Linked DNA regions of Danio rerio. The protein of the gene in region 1 purifies or fractionates together with the protein of each later gene. This does not show direct contact. Links are inferred from orthologs where the notes say so. Each region holds a gene or a part of one and is shown on either strand. Other genes may lie near its edges.

The links. Proteins that work in one complex are often made in the same cells at the same time.
Region 2: the proteins of rprd1b (region 1) and polr2g purify together in Homo sapiens (affinity purification with mass spectrometry; 3 studies listed by BioGRID and IntAct, counting the BioPlex papers as one, with this or other methods). This does not show direct contact. The link is inferred for Danio rerio from reciprocal best matches to the Homo sapiens genes RPRD1B and POLR2G.

Annotation. Positions count from the first base shown.
Region 1 is NC_133198.1:46,861,870-46,865,369, reverse strand, and holds part of rprd1b (regulation of nuclear pre-mRNA domain-containing protein 1B), read left to right. Parts: intron 1-95; 5' UTR 96-123; coding exon 124-274; intron 275-3,059; coding exon 3,060-3,189; intron 3,190-3,500. UniProt on the Homo sapiens protein: Interacts with phosphorylated C-terminal heptapeptide repeat domain (CTD) of the largest RNA polymerase II subunit POLR2A, and participates in dephosphorylation of the CTD by RPAP2. Transcriptional regulator which enhances expression of CCND1.
Region 2 is NC_133189.1:30,990,819-30,994,824, forward strand, and holds the start of polr2g (DNA-directed RNA polymerase II subunit RPB7), read left to right. Parts: upstream 1-1,206; 5' UTR 1,207-1,318; coding exon 1,319-1,330; intron 1,331-1,440; coding exon 1,441-1,550; intron 1,551-1,629; coding exon 1,630-1,789; intron 1,790-3,126; coding exon 3,127-3,177; intron 3,178-3,277; coding exon 3,278-3,343; intron 3,344-3,424; coding exon 3,425-3,496; intron 3,497-3,605; coding exon 3,606-3,639; intron 3,640-3,774; coding exon 3,775-3,788; 3' UTR 3,789-4,006. UniProt on the Homo sapiens protein: Core component of RNA polymerase II (Pol II), a DNA-dependent RNA polymerase which synthesizes mRNA precursors and many functional non-coding RNAs using the four ribonucleoside triphosphates as substrates.

The sequences.
Region 1 (3,500 bases):
CTTTTCCATAGTTTGATATCAACTTTTGACCTTGTGTTTCCCCTTATGTTAAATGCATCTTATGTTAATGATCAGGTCTGTTGTGCTGTTTTCAGGGTTGTTTGGTGAGCGCGAGCGGTCAGCATGTCGTCTTTCTCCGAGTCTGCGCTGGAGAAGAAACTGTCTGAACTGAGTAACTCCCAGCAGAGCGTCCAGACTCTGTCTCTGTGGATCATTCACCATCGCAAACATGCAGCGCTCATCGTGCGCGTCTGGCACAGAGAGCTGAAGAAGGGTGAGAGAGACACTCATTCACTGAAGCTTAACCCGGGTCAAAAATGGCCCATATACTTACTTTTCTAAAATGACCTTAAACATTTATTGTACATTGTCTTTTTTCATGAAGGCTGTGCACATTTAGAGTACAACAGTTGTCCTTTGGGTCTATTTTGACCCGCCAGCTATAAAAAAACTTTTACTCCACAGAAACTACTAGCACACACTACAACACACACACACAGAGTAGCTATGTTTCCATCCACATATTTCTATGCAAAGTTTGGATATGTGCATAAAAACACTGGTTAATGCAAACACCAAGAGGCACATACATTTTGAAAATGCGAATAAAAAACCTTTGCGCATAACTAAGTCGAATTAACTTTTATTTGATACGAAAAGATGCGCAATAAACTAAGATGGAAACGATTTTATGTGCATAAAAAAGTCATGTGATTTTGATATATGAGATCATGTGATGATAAAAACGTGTGTGAATGGACAAACCATCAGGCGGAGCACATTGTAAAACATCTGAAATGTTGTTTTGGTCATTCTAAAATGCCCTAACCATCTCAGTATTAGCGTTATTATATTATTAACCCTTGTATGGTGTTCGGGTCTGTGAGACCCTTTTCGTTTTTTTTTTTATTTTTTTTTTTTTATTAAACAATGAATTATTTTTTCAACCTGAAGTTCTTTGGCTTTGGCCTATTTTCTGTGAAGATCATAATTCCGAACAAATTTTCAATGACCGCATAATGTACCTCCACCCAGACATTTACATTACATACAAGGTGTTCGGGTTCACTAGACCCAGGTATAATAAGGGTGCTTTCACACCTACACTTTTGTTTCGGAACCTGTCTTGTTTGCCCAGTTAGTGCGGTTCGTTTAGCATATGTGAATCCACCAATCGCTCTCGAGTCCGCGCCAAATCAATCGCTCCGAGATCGCTTAAGTGAGGTGGTCTCGGCTCGATTGAAACGAACTCTGGAGCGGTTCGATTGCAGTGAGAAAGCGATCCGATCCGAGCGCGGTTATATCACAGTGTTTTATGGATATGTAATAGGCTTACGGCTATATGAAGAGAGAATTATGAGTATGGCGGGAACTTTTGCGAGTCTCCGGATGCCCGCAAACGAGTGATGATCTCCTGGCAATCTCGCATCTCCCTCCCGGTCCTCAAATAGGCTACGTCGCGCACCCTTCTCACCCCTCCCCACCTCATCTCTCCTTACTCTTCAGACACGTCGCGCGCACCCTGTCAAACACCACCAAACCACCACCTCTCCTGACAGCTGAGCGGGACGCTGCAAAATAAACCCTGACACTCTGACCAATGTGAGGAGAGTTTACTCGCACGTGACTTGTTTTAGCTCTTTTGGTCCGATTAGTAACTTTGCAGTGTGAAAGTGAACCGCTCCAAGAGCAAAGAGCAACAATGTAACAATTGTAATCCTTGTTTAGAACAACTGAATCGATTCACAGGTGTGAAAGCACTCATATCCTGTCCCATCTGCGAATTAGGGGCATAGTACTATAAATAAGACTTTGCCAGTGTGGTTCCTTATCAAAACTGATCAAGATGGCCAAAAGATTATCTGCTGCGAAGGCCTTGCAATTGATTGTGGAAGAGAGAGAGGAGCTTCGGATGATGATGTCCATGACCATTGTGGGAACAATACAAAAAAAAATCTGTTGGTTTTAAAAAAAAAAAAAAAACGAGAAGCACATTAATTCATCAGTATGATCTAACAAAGGTAAATGGCAAAAATTAACCATGTTTGCTGTGCATATGGCTTGTAATTGGGATTAAGTAAGCATTTGTTGAGTAGTTTAACGTCTCCTCCGACGGCCCGCACTCATATAGCATTCACGCCTGAGCACGCTTACGTCATCGATGATGCGCTCTTTAGTTTAACAGAAGAGAAGCACTCTGGGGAGCTCAGTGGTGGTTGCTTTAGTTATTGCATTAAATGGTTCGATATGCAGTGACACACAGTCAAATATTTCGCCTTATTTCGACTTAAAAGTCTTCGTGCGTCACGTATTAAAAGGTTTGCTGGAGGTGCAACTGTCGTGCAGTGAGGGGTTTAATAATCTACAATAGTTTGTGTTCATTAAACAGTAAGAATGATTGATAAATCCATATGAAACAGTCCCGTAAAAGTCATGTCTCGTCTTCAGTTTGGAGCTCAGGCGCACTTTGCACTCGCACTGTAAGCCCAAATGAACTGCGCTCTAGCACACCTCTTCCATCCGGGCCAGGGCTGGCCAACTGAATCATGCCTAAGGCCGATTCAGAACACTCACACTTTTCAAACGATCCGGGAAACGGGCCTGGCATGGTTCAGATACACCCATACTCTCTCACATTCATATACTCGTATACTACAGCCAATTGAGCTTGTTCAATTCCCTTATACCACATGTGCTTGGACTTGTGGGGGAAACCGGAGTACCCCGGGGAAACCCATGCCAACACGGGGAGAACATGCAAACTCCACACAGAAACGCCAACTGACCCAGCCGGGACTCGAATCAGCGACCTTTTTGCTGTGAGGAGACAGTGCTAACCACTATGCCGCCATAATTATCATCAATCAAGCTAAAAGATTGTGTTTGACTCTGTTCAGTCAGTGTTGGTGTTTTTTTGTACAATGAACGTTTATTAAGAAGAAACCGATATGATTGCATGTTATATATTGTATATTTAGTGTGGGTTTAGCTAATGCTGCTTATATGGCATTAAAACACTAATAAATAAAGGTAATAGTGATGATGTGTTTGTTTTTCAGCTAAAAGCAGCAGGAAGTTGACGTTCTTGTATCTGGCCAATGATGTGATTCAGAACAGTAAGAAAAAGGGTCCAGAGTTCGCAAAAGACTTCGAAGGCGTCCTGATTGATGCCTGTTCACACGTGGCCAGGTAAACAAACCCTCATTAATGCTTTTTGTTGTTCGTTTTCAAAAGCATAGATATAGTTGAAGTTATTCGCCCTCCTGTGCATTTTTCTCAAGTATTTCCCAAATGATGTTTAACAAATTCAGGAGTTTTTCACAGTATGTCAGATAATATTTATCCTCTAGAGAAAGTCTTGTTTGTTTTATTTCAGCTTGAAAAAAAGCAGTTTTTAATTGATTTAACGCCATTTTAAGGTCAAACTGATTAACCCCTTTAAACAATATTTATTTTGGCTTGTCTCTAGAACAAATCACTGTTATACAATGACTTGCCTG
Region 2 (4,006 bases), on another chromosome or scaffold:
TGAGTAAAATCGGATTTAGTGGAAACAACGATGATGTTATTGCTGGTTATTGGTTCAAATTAAATTACCATAATCTTAAGACAACATCGAAATTGATATCACTGTGTGTTCAATGTTTTAAAAACACAAATAAAATCGTTCGAATCTCATTTCACTAGTTATAGACCATTTCAGTGTGGTCATGTCTTTGGCCCATGAACATTTCCTGCTTGTTATCAAACTATTTTATAACTGTATCAAGAAGCAATTCAATCATAACTTAATATTAAAACAGCTATCATAACATTATTTATTAATATGTGTCTCTTTTTAGATTCTTAGAAGCTATAGAAATGTAAAACAGGAAATACGTTGGGACCATTGTTTTTGTTCACATCCCTCAAAATGGTCTATAGGCAACCATTCAGTTTGGAAAAGAACATGTTTTCTATTGTAAATAAGTTCTGCATTATTGATATTCATTCATTCATTCATTCATTCATTTGTTGCTTGCTTGATTGAAAAATCTCAAATTATTAAAAAATGCATGTTACAAATATTTATATTCTTTTAAAATGTATTTAATTATGTTTTATTTGCATGGCTATTAAAATTTAAGGACATTAAAAACGTATACAACATTGGGTCATAGCAAAAAATCATGCAAGTTGGGTTATTAACTGTTTATTTTATTTTTATTTTTTTTGTTACGTGACAATCTTAAAAGTTAAAACAGAAGCAAATGTGAACAACAAGATATCTGAATTTACTGTGTGGTTTTTAAAAGCTTTATTGTGTCCACGCCAATAGCCAATATATTTTGAACATTTAGCCTACTATTAGCATTTAAGCAGCACATACTCAAAACTTGCATATTCTCATTTTTAAAGAAAATGTTTTGAAAGAAATATACATTTTGGGCCTGACTTCAAAGGTTTTGATTTTCGAGGTAAAATGTCTGCAAATAAATAAATATCACACATAGCATTAAAAATCATAATGTAATAATCACTCATCTGGTGAAGTAGCTGCTAATAAATATGAATTCATTTATTTTTCATCTGCAGTGTCTTACCTTAATAGGGAATCTTATAGACAAAAACAGTTGAAGTGTCTACATTTGTATAAAAATAAAATTCTGAATCCAGAATCAACGCACACTAAACTAGCAGGGACTTTATTTCTAGGGAATCTTAGGGCTTTTAATTTGCAGTCGTTTTCACCCGGAAACATTCGCGTGCTCGCGCTGTCGAGATTCGGCGCCTGAACGCACTGACATAGAAAGTCGTGGCTGTAGAGTTTTAATTCAAGACTTTTGGAAGCTAAAATACAATAAGAGATGTTTTACCACGTAAGTCAGTGGGTGTTTTAGTTTTACGTGATAAGTGAGTTGCAGCACTTATAAATGTCCGTCAATGTTTTCTGTGCTCACTGTTGTTTACACGTTGTTTGTCACAATAGATCTCTCTGGAGCATGAAATTCTCCTCCATCCAAGATATTTTGGACCCAACCTTTTGAACACAGTCAAACAGAAACTGTTCACTGAGGTTGAAGGAACATGTACTGGAAAGTAAGTTAACGTTACTTCATCAATAAATGAATGAACGTTATGAGATCTGACTCTCTAATGCTCGTGTGTTGTTTCCCAGGTATGGCTTTGTTATTGCAGTAACCACAATCGATAATATTGGAGCAGGGGTTATACAGCCGGGCAGAGGTTTTGTGTTGTATCCCGTCAAATACAAAGCCATCGTCTTCCGTCCCTTCAAAGGAGAAGTTGTGGATGCTGTTGTCACTCAGGTTAACAAAGTACGGTTTGTGTTTTTATTTTCATACAACAGTTACAAAAATATAAATATAAAACATACATTATATAGAACATCAGTACGGGATAATTAATACTTATTAAAACAATAATGCTCAAACAAGGTGTTGTGTACATAATGTTTTATTATTTTCTAATTGTTCAATAAACTGGAGACTATTATTGTGCTTATACTATGGTTACTAGACATAAATGTTCAGGTCAGATGATTTAAATCGAGACATTTTTCAGATTTCTGTCCTCAGACAGCTCACGTGTGTAATACTTATGTAGTGTCATAATTATCTTAGCCAAAGCCTTTAGTTTTGATTTTTAAATGTGAAATAACTGTAACCATTCATCGTAGTGATGTGGAACTAATGCAGTCAAGACCTGCCTGGAACTGCGAAAGCAGTGTGCTTATTTAAAAATAATTGAACACCTTAAGTTTCACCAGCCAATCAAAATCAAGCCCTGTAGTATAATTACCTTTGTTTCAGACCCTTGGCAAATGGTCCTCAGAGCTTTTATATAGGCATAAGGTGTTATCAGATTTTCTAGTTGTGATAATTACTGAAGCTTTTATCACAATCTATGGCATTCTCAAAATATTGACTTAAGCAGTTACAAATTAGTTTTAATAACAAATAAACACTACATTTTGTGTATTGCACTTAAATGTTCACAGTTGACAGATTTTCCTAGCAAAATAAACTGTAAAAGTATTTCAAAGTGCCATGGGTAACACTTTACTAAACAATTTCATTTGTTTTAAATGTCAGTGTTAGTCTTGAACAATATAACTGAATGTTATTAGTTAATTATTATTCGTTAAGAATTTTACTTAACCTAGGAATAAAGAATAGGAAACGAGTTGAACCAATGGTAATGAACAATAGGTCTGTAAATAATCTAAACATTTTCAGTCGATGTCATTGGCCAGATTCATGTAAAAAATGTTTGCTTGCAAATAAATAGTCTATTAAATTGTCATGTTATTGACACCACTACCGATACAATAATCTGCTTAAACTAAAATGTTTTCTAATACTATACAGAAATAATAATTCAATGTAATTTTGAAGTGTCCATGATACCAATTTTAGGATTGTTCATTATCAGGATATATTGCAGGGAACCTGGCACATGTTTAACCGGCACTTCTAAGAGTAAAAAAAAAGCCTGCACTGGCAAAACAAAATGAACACTCGAATTGCGGCTCCTGACAATACATTTGTCTTACAAAGTGAAAGCTCAATCTCTACATGACACTGAACATTAATTTTTCTCTGCTACAGATTTTTCCAGTGTTCAATGCATTTTTTATTTCTTTTTTTCCCAGGTTGGACTCTTTACAGAAATTGGCCCCATGTCTTGTTTCATTTCTCGACATGTAGGTTTTCATGGTAAAATATATTCGTGTATTGGTAAAAGACATGTGTAATTGTCTTAAATCTGTGTGTGTGTGTTTTTTTTTGTGTGTGTGAATCTAGTCTATTCCCTCTGAGATGGAGTTTGATCCAAACTCAAATCCTCCATGCTACAAGACAGTGGATGAGGTAGGATTGAATGCTTTTTGTTTTGAAAGTTGTTCTTTTTCAACAGTTTTAAACACAATTTTTATTTTTTTTTTTTAACAGGACGTTGTGATTCAACAAGATGATGAAATTCGACTGAAGATTGTGGGAACTCGTGTGGACAAGAATGATATTGTAAGTAAATGCCAGTTTTCTCGAATATGTCGATGATATAAATCATTTTTTCAATGTTTATTAACAGTTTTTAATGACTTGTTTTGTCCTTTTATTTATTTTTTATTAGTTTGCCATTGGATCTTTAATGGATGACTACCTGGGTATATGTTTTCTACGATTTAAGCTTGAAACTATACTTATTAAATTGATAACAGAACGTTTTAATTAAGTCTTCTTTAAATAATTTCTGGTGATGATATCAAGCTTTTGTCTGAACATGTCTCTTATTCTTCTAGGTCTTGTGAGCTGATTCCTCTGCCGTGAATATGGGAAATTTGAGAGTTGTTGCTGTGGTGGTGATGATACTTAGTTTGTGTATATACTGTAATTATTTCCCTATTCATTTAGATTAGTTTTTCTTTTTTTCCATTTTCTGTTTTTATTGTCTCCTTTTATTAAAATGTTGGTAGTACAGTTTCAAGTTCAAATTTGAAACCAGATGAAGTCGAATGGGAACAAAGAGTAGCT